3 linked regions of the Tribolium castaneum genome follow. The protein of the gene in region 1 purifies or fractionates together with the protein of each later gene. This does not show direct contact. Links are inferred from orthologs where the notes say so. Each region holds a gene or a part of one and is shown in the gene's direction. Other genes may lie near its edges. The genes, in order: not, Sirt1 and Ada3.

Region 1 (3,756 bases):
AGTATTGACCGGCACGGGCCTCACACAGGCTAGGGGAAGCCCCAACTGGCGACACAAGTGCTGGACTACGACCAAAGGACTCGCCACACTGCTGTAAATAGTTGGGAGCGAGGCAGTAAAGGCCAGAGCACCGTCTTCCAGATACCGGGGGTACTTGTAATGTAGCATCATTCTGGTCACTCTGACCAGCCCCTCGAGGTGGTCGTCGTGATAAAACGACGACGAGTCGAGAAAACTTCAATTTTTTATTAATACCGGGGGTTCACCCAATTTCTTACCCGAAAATCTGGCTGATCCAGCGCGTGGCGTCCGTGGTGAACCTCGTGCTCAGCTTCTGCATGACGGGGCGCTCCAGCCCGCTGCAAAACGCCGCAATGCTGTGCGAAACCATCACCAGCTTGGCCACGTTGTCCAGACTGTGCAGACTCAACGGCTCCCCGTCCTCATCCACACTGATCAAGCCCTGGATTATCTGGATGATTTCCTCGGTGCGCTTCTGCTCCAGGCCCAGGAACACCGTCGGCTGGTTGTAGGCCGCATCGGCCAGGCTTGTCCCTTCGGCAACCTGCTCTAACCTACTAACAATTTCGGACGCTTCGATTGCGATTTCGCCCAACTGGTTCTGAAACACCGGATAAAAACCGGGCTGGAAATTGTGGCCAAACTTACGTTTTTGCTAGTTGGAGTTTGCATGTTTGTTTTCGTTATGTCTACATTTACGGAAACCTCGTTTTTTGCTGTGTTTTTATCATTCGGCGGAGAAGCCATCGTGGCAGGTGTACGGAAACGTCAGATTTTGCAGACGTACGCCTTCGGGTGCTCTCGCTTATTTGCATGCGGACGTGGAGATACGACGCAATGGAGGATGTCGGGGATTAGCGCGGGCGCTTTATTTTTAAAATGGTGCGTTATCAGCTGACTATACCTTTGCCAACCTTAGGAAAAAATAATCTTTGCCGGAGTTGATTGCCAAATAGGCACGGGTCAAGTCATGAATTAAACTCCAACTATTTTTTAATTCTAATTCCATTTTTGTGATCATTAAGGGGCTATTATTACCCAAAACTGTGTTAGAGTATCACTTTGTGGGCGTCATGTTGGCTGTTATTGCCACCACTTGACGCTCGACTGGAGACATGGCCTAAAATTGATTTATTAAATTATTGCGTGAAACTTATCGACCCAAAATAACATTTTCGGGTTGTGGGAATCACCCGAAAGCCACAGCAATCGTTTCATTGTTGTATTAAAATGATCACCGTTTCTCGAATCGTGCTTGTGGGCATGTGGCCGTAAATCTCAGTCTGTTGTCCAAAGGTGGACACCAGTGTCATATCGTGATTTGTGTACAATTTTTACCAATTTTTTAAACTTTTTATTGTGTGAATGGAAACAATCGTTTAGTTTTGTAAAAATCGGGGCTTGGGGCCAATAGTTTGAGGCCACGACTGTATCTCGTTGGCAACCTCGTTGATGGGCAATAAATCCCACACAAAGCCGCGTTTTTCGAAAAAAATGAGCATAGTTGGGTGTCAACACTTGCAGTCTTACAAGAAAACGAGCAAAAACAAGAACACTTTCAAGTGGATCCACGCCGTGTTCGTGGTCAACTCCACCTCAAAGAGCCTCAAAACCAAGGTAAAAATCGGCCACGCTTTGCTAAAACTAACTAGAGGAATTGTAGTTGTGCAACAGCCGCTGTCGCGTGTGCAAAAAGCGGGGCCCCTTCCTGCATGCCTGCCTCGAGTGTGTCTTTTTCGGATGCCACAAGCACATCCGGGAGCATGCCAAGAGCCAGAAACACTCCATGTCCATGGACCTGACCTACGGGCAGATGCACTGCAACCAATGCCATGACTACATCTACGATTCCGAAATCGACGCAATTGCGAACGATAATAAAATGAAGTCGAAGACTTGCAAGAAACGGCTGTTTGAGATCGACACGTGGAATCCTACGTCTGATGAGAGGGATTATTTGAGGAGCAAGACGAAGAAGATTTGTATTACGCCCGATTCGACGATCGGGCTAAGGGGGCTGCTTAATTTAGGTCAGACGTGCTTCATGAATTGTATAGTGCAAGCACTGATGCACACCCCCTTGTTGCGCGACTACTTCCTCACAGAGGAGCATAACTGCAAGGGGATGTCGGGACGGTGCCTCGTTTGCGAGGTCTCCAAGCTTTTCCAGGTATGGTCGTATATGGCCAGGCTACGGGTTACTATAAGTTAGGATACGAAACGTACTCAAATGTCCCCGTCCTGGATAGTTCCATTAGTGGCGCCAGATGGCGCAAACAAAAATGCAGGCGGGTAGAACAAAAAATAATGCAAACATTTTATTTTTTGATTTAGATCAAGAAGAATTAAATTTCCTACAAAAAAGTCTAACTAAAACAGTGATAACACACATTATGTAAACTGTTCTTGATTTTTTAAATATGTTTATTCTTTTTTCTCAGTTCGTTTAATTTAAATGTAATTTTTTTTAGGAGTTTTATAACGGAACTCGCGTCCCTTTGGCCCTCCACGAGCTCTTGCATTTAATCTGGACGCATGCCCGGCACTTAGCCGGCTATGAGCAGCAAGACGCCCACGAATTTTTCATCGCGACTCTGGACGTGCTCCACCAGCACTGTCTCGAGACAATGCCCGATTTAAAGCCGGTGAATGTGGGGAAAAACTCGCGATGCCCCTGCATTATCGACCAGATTTTTACCGGGGGGTTGCAAAGTGACGTTGTTTGTCAGAAATGCAAGTGAGTAGTGGGATTTTTAAGCGAGCCGGTGGTTTTACTTGTTGCATTGGTAGTGGTGTTTCTACTACAATTGATCCAATTTCGGACTTTTCGTTAGATTTGGGTCCGGTCACGGTTGGCGGACGGCCACCTACCTCACTTGTCGATTGTTTAGAGAGGTTCACAAGGGCCGAACATTTAGGCGAAAATTCGAAAATCATGTGTTCGAATTGCCAATCAAAGCAGGAATCGACGAAACAATTGACTATGAATACGCTTCCGATTGTTATCAGTTTTCATTTAAAACGCTTTCAGCACATGAACGAGGTAAAAACCCACACGAAATCCAAACAAAAGTCACTCATTTCGTCGCAGATGGAGAAGAAAATCTCTACTACGATTTCGTTTCCTGAAATGCTAGATATGACCCCGTTTATGAGCAGGTCTAAGACAGACTCGCCTTTTCCCTCTGATAACAGATACTCGCTCTTTGCCGTCATTAACCACATTGGCAACTCCATAAACGTGGGTCATTACACCGCTTATGTCAGACAGTTGCAAGACTATTGGTACAAATGCGACGATCACGTCATCACAAGAGCCACTCTCAAGGAGGTTCTAGACTCGGAAGGGTAAGGCGAAAAGTTGTGTAAACACCCCGTAATTTTCTACTTCCAGATATTTACTCTTTTACCACAAGCATGTCCTAGATTACGACTAAACGATTTTACCTAATTTAAACATTTTATTTATTTTATTGTGACATCGATTAATTTATCAAGTGCTAAATGTAATAAATTTTACCTCAATAGCCGTTTTTTATTATTATTCCACCCTCCTTAATTGATTTGTTTACTTTGACAAGTGAAATGTGAGGTTAAAAAATGGACGCTTTAACGCTAGGTTCCCAAAGGTAAGAACAAACCCCCCTGACCCACAATTAACCATTTGCCCCAGATTAATCCACTTGGACCTGAAAGGGGCCCCTCCGAAGCTCTGCTACTTCGAAAAAGTATGTT
Region 2 (3,756 bases), on another chromosome or scaffold:
TTATGAAACTTTGATTAACATATTATTATTTTCAACAAGTTAATTATACAGACATTCGAAAAAAATTCAAAATAAAATAACAAAATTCTTTACATTTAAATTCACATGTCAACTGAGAAAAAAGCCGCTCTTCTAGAATGTCAAATTATACCTCCCATATTAAAATAATGATAATAAATCTAATTCCAAAAAACAATATGCAATAACCATTTTTTTCAAAAGGTTTTTAGGTAGAACACTTTGCAAAAGTTCAAAATTATGTTTTGCAGCTAAATTCTTCCGGCAATTGGTACAGATGTGATTTTGTTTTTTGACCAAATTTCGCAATAAATCATAACATTTCGGATACAGAAGATACACAAACCAAATTAAGGTTTCATGTGTAGATAACGTTAAAAAGAAATGGAATTTGGTGGGTTTTCTTGTCGCTGGGACTCAGTTTAACACAGATATCTTTCCTTATGCAGACTCTCAATTTGAACTTTATTTTACTCCAAAAAGCTCAAATGAGCTGTCCCTCACAGAACGCTTCATACTAAAAATTTGGCCAATTTAATTTTTTTATTGTAACAAGACCCTAAGCGCAAATTCAGTATAACTTACGTCGATTACCATAAAAAATACAGAATAATGGCAAAAACATCAGACTTTAGCTCTTGCAAATTACCTTCTTCCTAAGCTTGCCTCGTATGTGACATAACCTCTTAACGCCATCAAAGCACATTGCTTCCAGCCGTCCATTCCCCAACATTTTTGTGACTTGTGCATACTCCTGTCCATCTTCCTTGAAGACCAGCTCACGTTTTTCCGTTTCATTTTCGTTCTTACCCCTTCTACGGTTCTTACCTCCCTTTCCTGGAATGACATATTAAAACAAAACGTCACTATGTGAACTTGACATTAGCCACAAGGGGACACAATTTGCACATTTTGCCCACTTGTAGTCCACAACTTTTGGCAATTTTCGGGCCGTTTATTGCAAAATGTGCCCCAATAATTGTCAAAACGGAACGTGTGGTCGCGAGGTGTCGATATGTCGCAAATTGGCAACATACGCAGTTAGGGGCGCGGAGCAGTCTCACCTTTATTCTTCGGCATTGTGTGGGCGACTACACGGCGGTGTGGAAAAGGGCCGAAAAGTTTGCAAAAACGCCGAAATAATTTGTAATATTTCACAAGAAATTTGCTGTCTGTTATCTGGCGGTGCACAGACGACGCAAGGGATTGTGGGTAGGCGCTGGATGCGCGCGCAGGAATTCCTCCGGCACTGGCGACTCGATGCTCGAAAAGATTTTTATTCGTGTCAAAGATGGATACCTATCCTGACGTTGCTGAACACGAATCCAGTGCGAAACGAATTAAACTCGACCTAAGAGAGTCGAATATAGGTGAATTGTGCAATGGGGGCGATTTTTCTAGTTATTCCACATCAGCTGGCGGCCCGATTGACATCCCCGAAGGTAAAATTTCTAAAATATGTTTGCTTGTTTAGGGAAAATTTCTCATCCAATATGGCGACGAGAACAAAGGCGATTTAGCAGACATTTTGTAGGCGTGGTGCTAGGATCGAAATGACTGATGAACTTGTAAAATTTGCGGTTGATTCATTTTTGACTCAGAACGGGTGCTTGTCGTTCGTTTCGCTTCACATAGTCGTTTTTCTTTGTTAAGTTATATTTGAAAATATTAGAAATAAAATTTTAATGATTTTTTTAAATTTAGTGGTTTTATTTACCTTGTTTCAGTTGAGTTCTGTCAGGGTTATGTTTGGTGTATTTTTGGTGGTATTGTGCATAAAGCTTGTGGAAAATATTCCATTTCGGACAAAAACTATAAAAATAGTCGGAAAAAAAAGGTGGAATACTACTGACAGTTTACGACTGACTTGTTTGCAAAAGAGGTTAAGTTTATGTTTTTATGTCAAAACCGCGTGTTGCATGGAACATTTTCAAATCTGTTGATTAAATTATGGTGATAAATGGAAAATCTAAGGTAGCATCAATTCATCACGTGGGGGAATTCTTAAAGAACTTGTTTTTTTTTAGTGAGCATTTTTTTATATAAATTCACTCATGTTTTTTGTCTTAATTTTATATTCTTTGAATTTGAGAACTTGCCTTGAATGTAATAAAAATCAAATACGTTTTAGTTTTATCTTGATGTTTATAAAATTTCTGAATTTGACTGCTTCAGATCTGCTATTTTTTCTTAATTTTTAATGTATAGTCTAAGCTAAGAGGAGGGATGTTAATTAAAAAAAATGGTTTTAGGAAAAAAATAATTTTTATATCTAGTTTTTTTCCGAAATTTAGATTTAGGTAAGCTCTTCATAGTCTCATGAAATATTTTGTTTTACATTTGTTTTTTTGTACAATTTATTTATTGGTATTTTTATAAATTCAGGATTAGTCAGTGTTTAGGAATTTTTTTTCAGGTTTTTTTAAAAATAAACGTTTTTATTAAACAAGTTATTTGTGGTAATAAGTATAAAATCACATTTTAAAATATTTTAATTCGATTTTTCTAAAAAAAAAACAGATGAATGACATCAAGTGAAATAATTTTTTTTAATTCAGGATTTTTTTTATTTCTGTTAAAGTTAGAGCTCTAGTTTTTTTGTAATTTTTTAATTAGAATATAATAAAAATCAAATAGTTTTTTAGTTTCATCTTAATGTTTATAAAATTTCTGAATTTGATCTTCTATTTTTTCTTAATTTTTATTTTAAAATACTTCTTGCACTTGCACTCGAAGCTAAATTTCATTAGTGGTCAAATGTGAAGAGAAGAGATGTCAATTTGAAAAAAGGTGGTTTTTAGTGAAAAAATGAATTTTTGACTGATAGTTTTTTTCCCAAATTTAAATAGGAAAGCTCTTTGTAGTCTTATCAAACACCTTTGTTTTACATTTTTTTTTTTGAATAATTTATTGTGGCAAAATTATTCACCGTCTAATAAGTAAGAAATCACATTTTAAAATAATTTGACTCGATTTTTCTAAAAAAAGCAGTTTTTGACATTTTGCTTTAAGATCAGTTCACATCTTAAGGTCTGTGCAGTGTACACACTATCATATTATTATGCAATTTAATGCAAACAAAAAGGATGCAGTGTGAATTCTTCAAGAAAGTTTATCTTTTTTGAACGAAAGATGAGTGGAAAAGTGATTTGTATTAATTTTTTCTTCTCAAATATTTGAAATTTTTGGAGACAAATATAATAAAATTTATGATCTGGAAGTATTAATACGTAGTATCGCATGTATTGAAAAAAAAATCTACAGACTACAAATCGATTCAAATATTACAAATGATGTAATATATGCTAAAAGATTAAGTTAGGTATTGTTGGTAAAAATTTATGCTGGAAGGATGTAAAATTCTTTTAGAGAAAAACAAATAAAGCAATAATTTGTATTTCTAATTTATTGTTGTAATTCAGGGAATTTCTTCAGTTTAATTAGTTATTTTTAGACGTAAGTCGATGTGGGCAGAACCTTATTGAACATTTTTTCTTGGAAACTGCGAAATCGTGCAAAGGTAACACACCTATAATATCACCCCAAAAGAGACAGATTTATGGATTTATTGAAATTACAAAAAAAAAATCAATTTCAAAAAGCGTATTTCAAAATTCTCAAGACGCAGACTAAGTTAAAACTCTTGTAACATGAGATACTATGATAAACATTCGATAAGTAAAGTGTTGATACGATGGATCACCTGTGGGAGAGGAACTTCAACTTTAAAGTAGTGAA
Region 3 (3,226 bases), on another chromosome or scaffold:
AGAATCGGTCGCTGTTTCCGAAAAAAAATTTCCGGAACAGTTGGCTGAAGACGAAAAAATTCCGCAATTTCCGGTTGAAGATGACCTTGTTTCGAAAAGTACGCGAATGTCATCAGCACCGAGTGAATCATTGAAGAAAGATGAAGAGGATTTGAAACAAGACACTTATCTTATGGAAGATTTGGCAAGACTTCGGGTAATTCACCGACTAGTCTACTAGGTTTTTCCCCGAAATAAATTCGGGTTTAGTCATTACAGGAAGCCATGATGGGTGAAAGTGACGACGAAGTTGAGAAATTCAAAGCTAGTATTTTAGCTGAAGCTGGTTTAACTCAATCACAAATTGATGCACCTGAACATTTTGAAACACGAATTGAGAGTGAAATTTTCACTAATGAGTCACTTAAAAGTTACGAAACGTCGACAAGTGAACCGTCCGTCAAGGAAAAAGCGCCAGAAGTAGAAAAAAAAAGTGGGAAATTTTTTTTTATAATTGTTTTAGATTGAGTATGAGGATGTGTTCGTGGATCCAGTTCCAGGAATCGGGCCGAAAGTCCCCGAAAATTTAATTTTGGCCGTTTGTAATTACATGAAAGATGTGGCCAAGTGGCAACATGACATGGTTATGCCGAGGAATATACGGCATTTTGATCGCCCGCCTTTAGAAATTCGAAATCAATAAAAATTTTGCACCGTTTTTTTTTTGATACATGGTACTGCCCAAATCTTAATCATATTTAATCACGTTTCAGTGCGTCCAGTAATCAATTAATAATTATTTGTGCCTCCAGGTGTATCTACTTGATTAGTAAATAAAGCCCTACGTTTCGGAAACACGTATTAAATTTTCCCCCTTTATGTTCGATTTAGTTTACAGTTTCCTGTAATTCAAGTGTCAATTTTTATGTATCGATTGTCAACAAACAACAAAATTGTGTGAAATTGGCTAAAATAACATTGATGATTAACATTTTGCATGTTCTTTGTGCCTAAAGCGTGATATGAACAACCCCAAACGCCACCTCATGTCAAAAAACGCCCCCCGAGGGGGCAAAGCGAAAGACGCCCCCTCGTCCTCCCGTCACGACTCCATCCCTCCTGACACCGAAAACTTCATAAACACCGTCCCTTTGATCCGTCAATGCGACAACACGAAGCTTTTGCCCCGTTTTTCATCCAGTAATCAACCCTAACCTAACGTTTTGCCCCTTTTGATTAATGAGCAAGTTTTTAGTTTTGGGGCGCACCGAAGACGATGGAGTGAACATGGACGACCTTGATCAACTTCAACTCGACCTTGAGAAGTTAATTTCGACGTGTGCTGTGCGTAACCGGTTTTTAAGGGGCGAAATCGAATCGATTGATCGAGTTGAGGAAAAAAGAGACAAAAAGGGCAAATCGTATGATAAAGGGGGGCTCAAACGGAAACGGCCCGATGATAAGGCCAAGTATCGTGATTTGAAAGGGGGCGCACGCCCCCTGAAACGTCATTATCCACTTCCGGTGGATGTGCCCTTGAGGCATGAAATGCCCAAAATTAATTTACCCAAGAATGATACTTCGGATAAGTTTTGGGCGACTGTGGAGCCCTATTGCGCCCCCGTTACGAATTCACACGCTACGGTTGATTGATTTTTTCAATTTTATAATTATGTATTAACAAAAAAAATTTTAGTTCCTCGATAAATTAATCGAGGAATGTTCGCAAGAAATTGATGTAAAAATACCCGATTTGGGCGAATATTACGCCAATGAGTGGTCAGATAATGCAACCGGAGTGGAACAAGAATTGGGGCTAACCTCTAAAACAGTTGGCCTTGATTTGAAAAAGAACGGTTTGAGTGCGTAAGTATTTTTTATCAAGTCATAAAGTTCAAAAAAATTTACAATCAATCAATAGAATGGTTGATTCATTTTCAAACCCGAAAACTCAACGCCTATTGGCCGCCTTGATTGAGGAGAAAGTGATGACGTCATTTCCGGGTGTTACTGGGAAACTCAAACGTAATAAAATCACATTTGTCGTAACTTCAAACTCATTTAATTCACTTTTAAAGCGTCCGATTTGAATATAATCAAGTCAGCTGGTGGTCCACGTGCTGCCATATGTATGGATCGCCGCCTTAAGAAAGATTTAGTCGAACAAGGATTATTAAGTGTTGAGGATTTATCTAAAACAATGCCCGACGATGAGATTTTACAAGAAATAAAAAAATGTCAACAAGAATTGACAGCTGTCAATGAGTATAATGTTGAGGAATTGAAACGTTTGAAAGCTATAGTTGTCAAAGATTTGAAACGGCAAGAAATCAAAGCAGCTCTGGATGTAGTAGATGGCGAAGTTTGTTGATTGGTGTTACCATGGTAACAAAATTAAAACACCTAAAATTTCAGGTTTTGGAAGTTTATAATAAGGTGTTAATGACCAAACAGAAGCAAATCCAGCAGGCCAAGGATGAAGATTTCGATAAAGCCGCCTTTACAAAAAGTTTGAAAGAATTTGAAGTGAAGACACATGTCTTGTTGGAAACGCAGTTTAAGTTTCAGAAAGCTTTGGCGGAATTGCAGGAATAAAAAAAACACCAGTTTTAAGTCTTACATTATTATTATTATTATTTTTGACACATTAATTTACAAATTAGTCTGGTATTTGGTGTTTAGAGTTGTTTTCTTTTTCCTCAATTGTCTAATTAACACTCCTAATTAAATAATTGAAAAACACCGATAAATCAATTTGTACTTGGGAGAGATATTCATCAAAAAATGCTTTTTTCGTTTCGTTTGGTTGGTAAAAAATCACTCTTTTGAATATTCAAATTGGCACCACTGGTGGTATATGAAACGAATGAGTCAATAGTGCCAACCTGACAATCACAATTGTGCGATGAGATGAACTTAACCTATAAAAAAAGTATATTGCGAACATGAATACTACCAACGGCTAAAATTGATTTTCCCTAAATATTTATATAAAAAACAAATCGTAATAAATATGACGCAACAGAACAACAACAAAAAAAATATATCGCTTAATCCTACAAAATTATCACATTTACATTCTATACAAATGATTATCATCATGGATTTTTTTGTCCTGAAATTTTGATTACTATTACATTGTGTCAACATACAAATTCAATACGCGATGTATCAACTCGTATTGTTCGGCTGTTTGTACCATGCCGCCTCGATTCAATCTCAGCGAGCACAAAATGGCCAAAACGTC

The links.
Region 2: the proteins of not (region 1) and Sirt1 purify together in Homo sapiens (affinity purification with western blotting; 10 studies listed by BioGRID and IntAct, with this or other methods). This does not show direct contact. The link is inferred for Tribolium castaneum from reciprocal best matches to the Homo sapiens genes USP22 and SIRT1.
Region 3: the proteins of not (region 1) and Ada3 purify together in Homo sapiens (affinity purification with mass spectrometry; 5 studies listed by BioGRID and IntAct, with this or other methods). This does not show direct contact. The link is inferred for Tribolium castaneum from reciprocal best matches to the Homo sapiens genes USP22 and TADA3.

Annotation. Positions count from the first base shown.
Region 1 is NC_087399.1:1,665,723-1,669,478, reverse strand, and holds not (ubiquitin carboxyl-terminal hydrolase nonstop), read left to right. Parts: upstream 1-1,131; 5' UTR 1,132-1,473; coding exon 1,474-1,638; intron 1,639-1,684; coding exon 1,685-2,191; intron 2,192-2,492; coding exon 2,493-2,758; intron 2,759-2,811; coding exon 2,812-3,369; intron 3,370-3,415; coding exon 3,416-3,458; 3' UTR 3,459-3,548; downstream 3,549-3,756. Other genes in the region: pyridoxal-dependent decarboxylase domain-containing protein 1, read right to left, coding at 1-235, 279-622, 670-768; hexosaminidase D, read left to right, coding at 3,622-3,650, 3,695-3,749. UniProt on the Homo sapiens protein: Deubiquitinase that plays a role in several cellular processes including transcriptional regulation, cell cycle progression or innate immunity.
Region 2 is NC_087394.1:11,915,690-11,919,445, forward strand, and holds the start of Sirt1 (NAD-dependent protein deacetylase sirtuin-1), read left to right. Parts: upstream 1-1,309; coding exon 1,310-1,460; intron 1,461-3,756. Other genes in the region: eIF1A (eukaryotic translation initiation factor 1A, X-chromosomal), read right to left, coding at 668-855, 1,083-1,098. UniProt on the Homo sapiens protein: NAD-dependent protein deacetylase that links transcriptional regulation directly to intracellular energetics and participates in the coordination of several separated cellular functions such as cell cycle, response to DNA damage, metabolism, apoptosis and autophagy.
Region 3 is NC_087401.1:17,517,734-17,520,959, forward strand, and holds Ada3 (transcriptional adapter 3), read left to right. Parts: upstream 1-847; 5' UTR 848-1,001; coding exon 1,002-1,179; intron 1,180-1,234; coding exon 1,235-1,623; intron 1,624-1,675; coding exon 1,676-1,845; intron 1,846-1,900; coding exon 1,901-2,004; intron 2,005-2,057; coding exon 2,058-2,341; intron 2,342-2,394; coding exon 2,395-2,574; 3' UTR 2,575-2,649; downstream 2,650-3,226. Other genes in the region: uncharacterized protein LOC103313297, read left to right, coding at 1-196, 250-459, 503-682; uncharacterized protein LOC656520, read right to left, coding at 3,113-3,226. UniProt on the Homo sapiens protein: Functions as a component of the PCAF complex. The PCAF complex is capable of efficiently acetylating histones in a nucleosomal context. The PCAF complex could be considered as the human version of the yeast SAGA complex.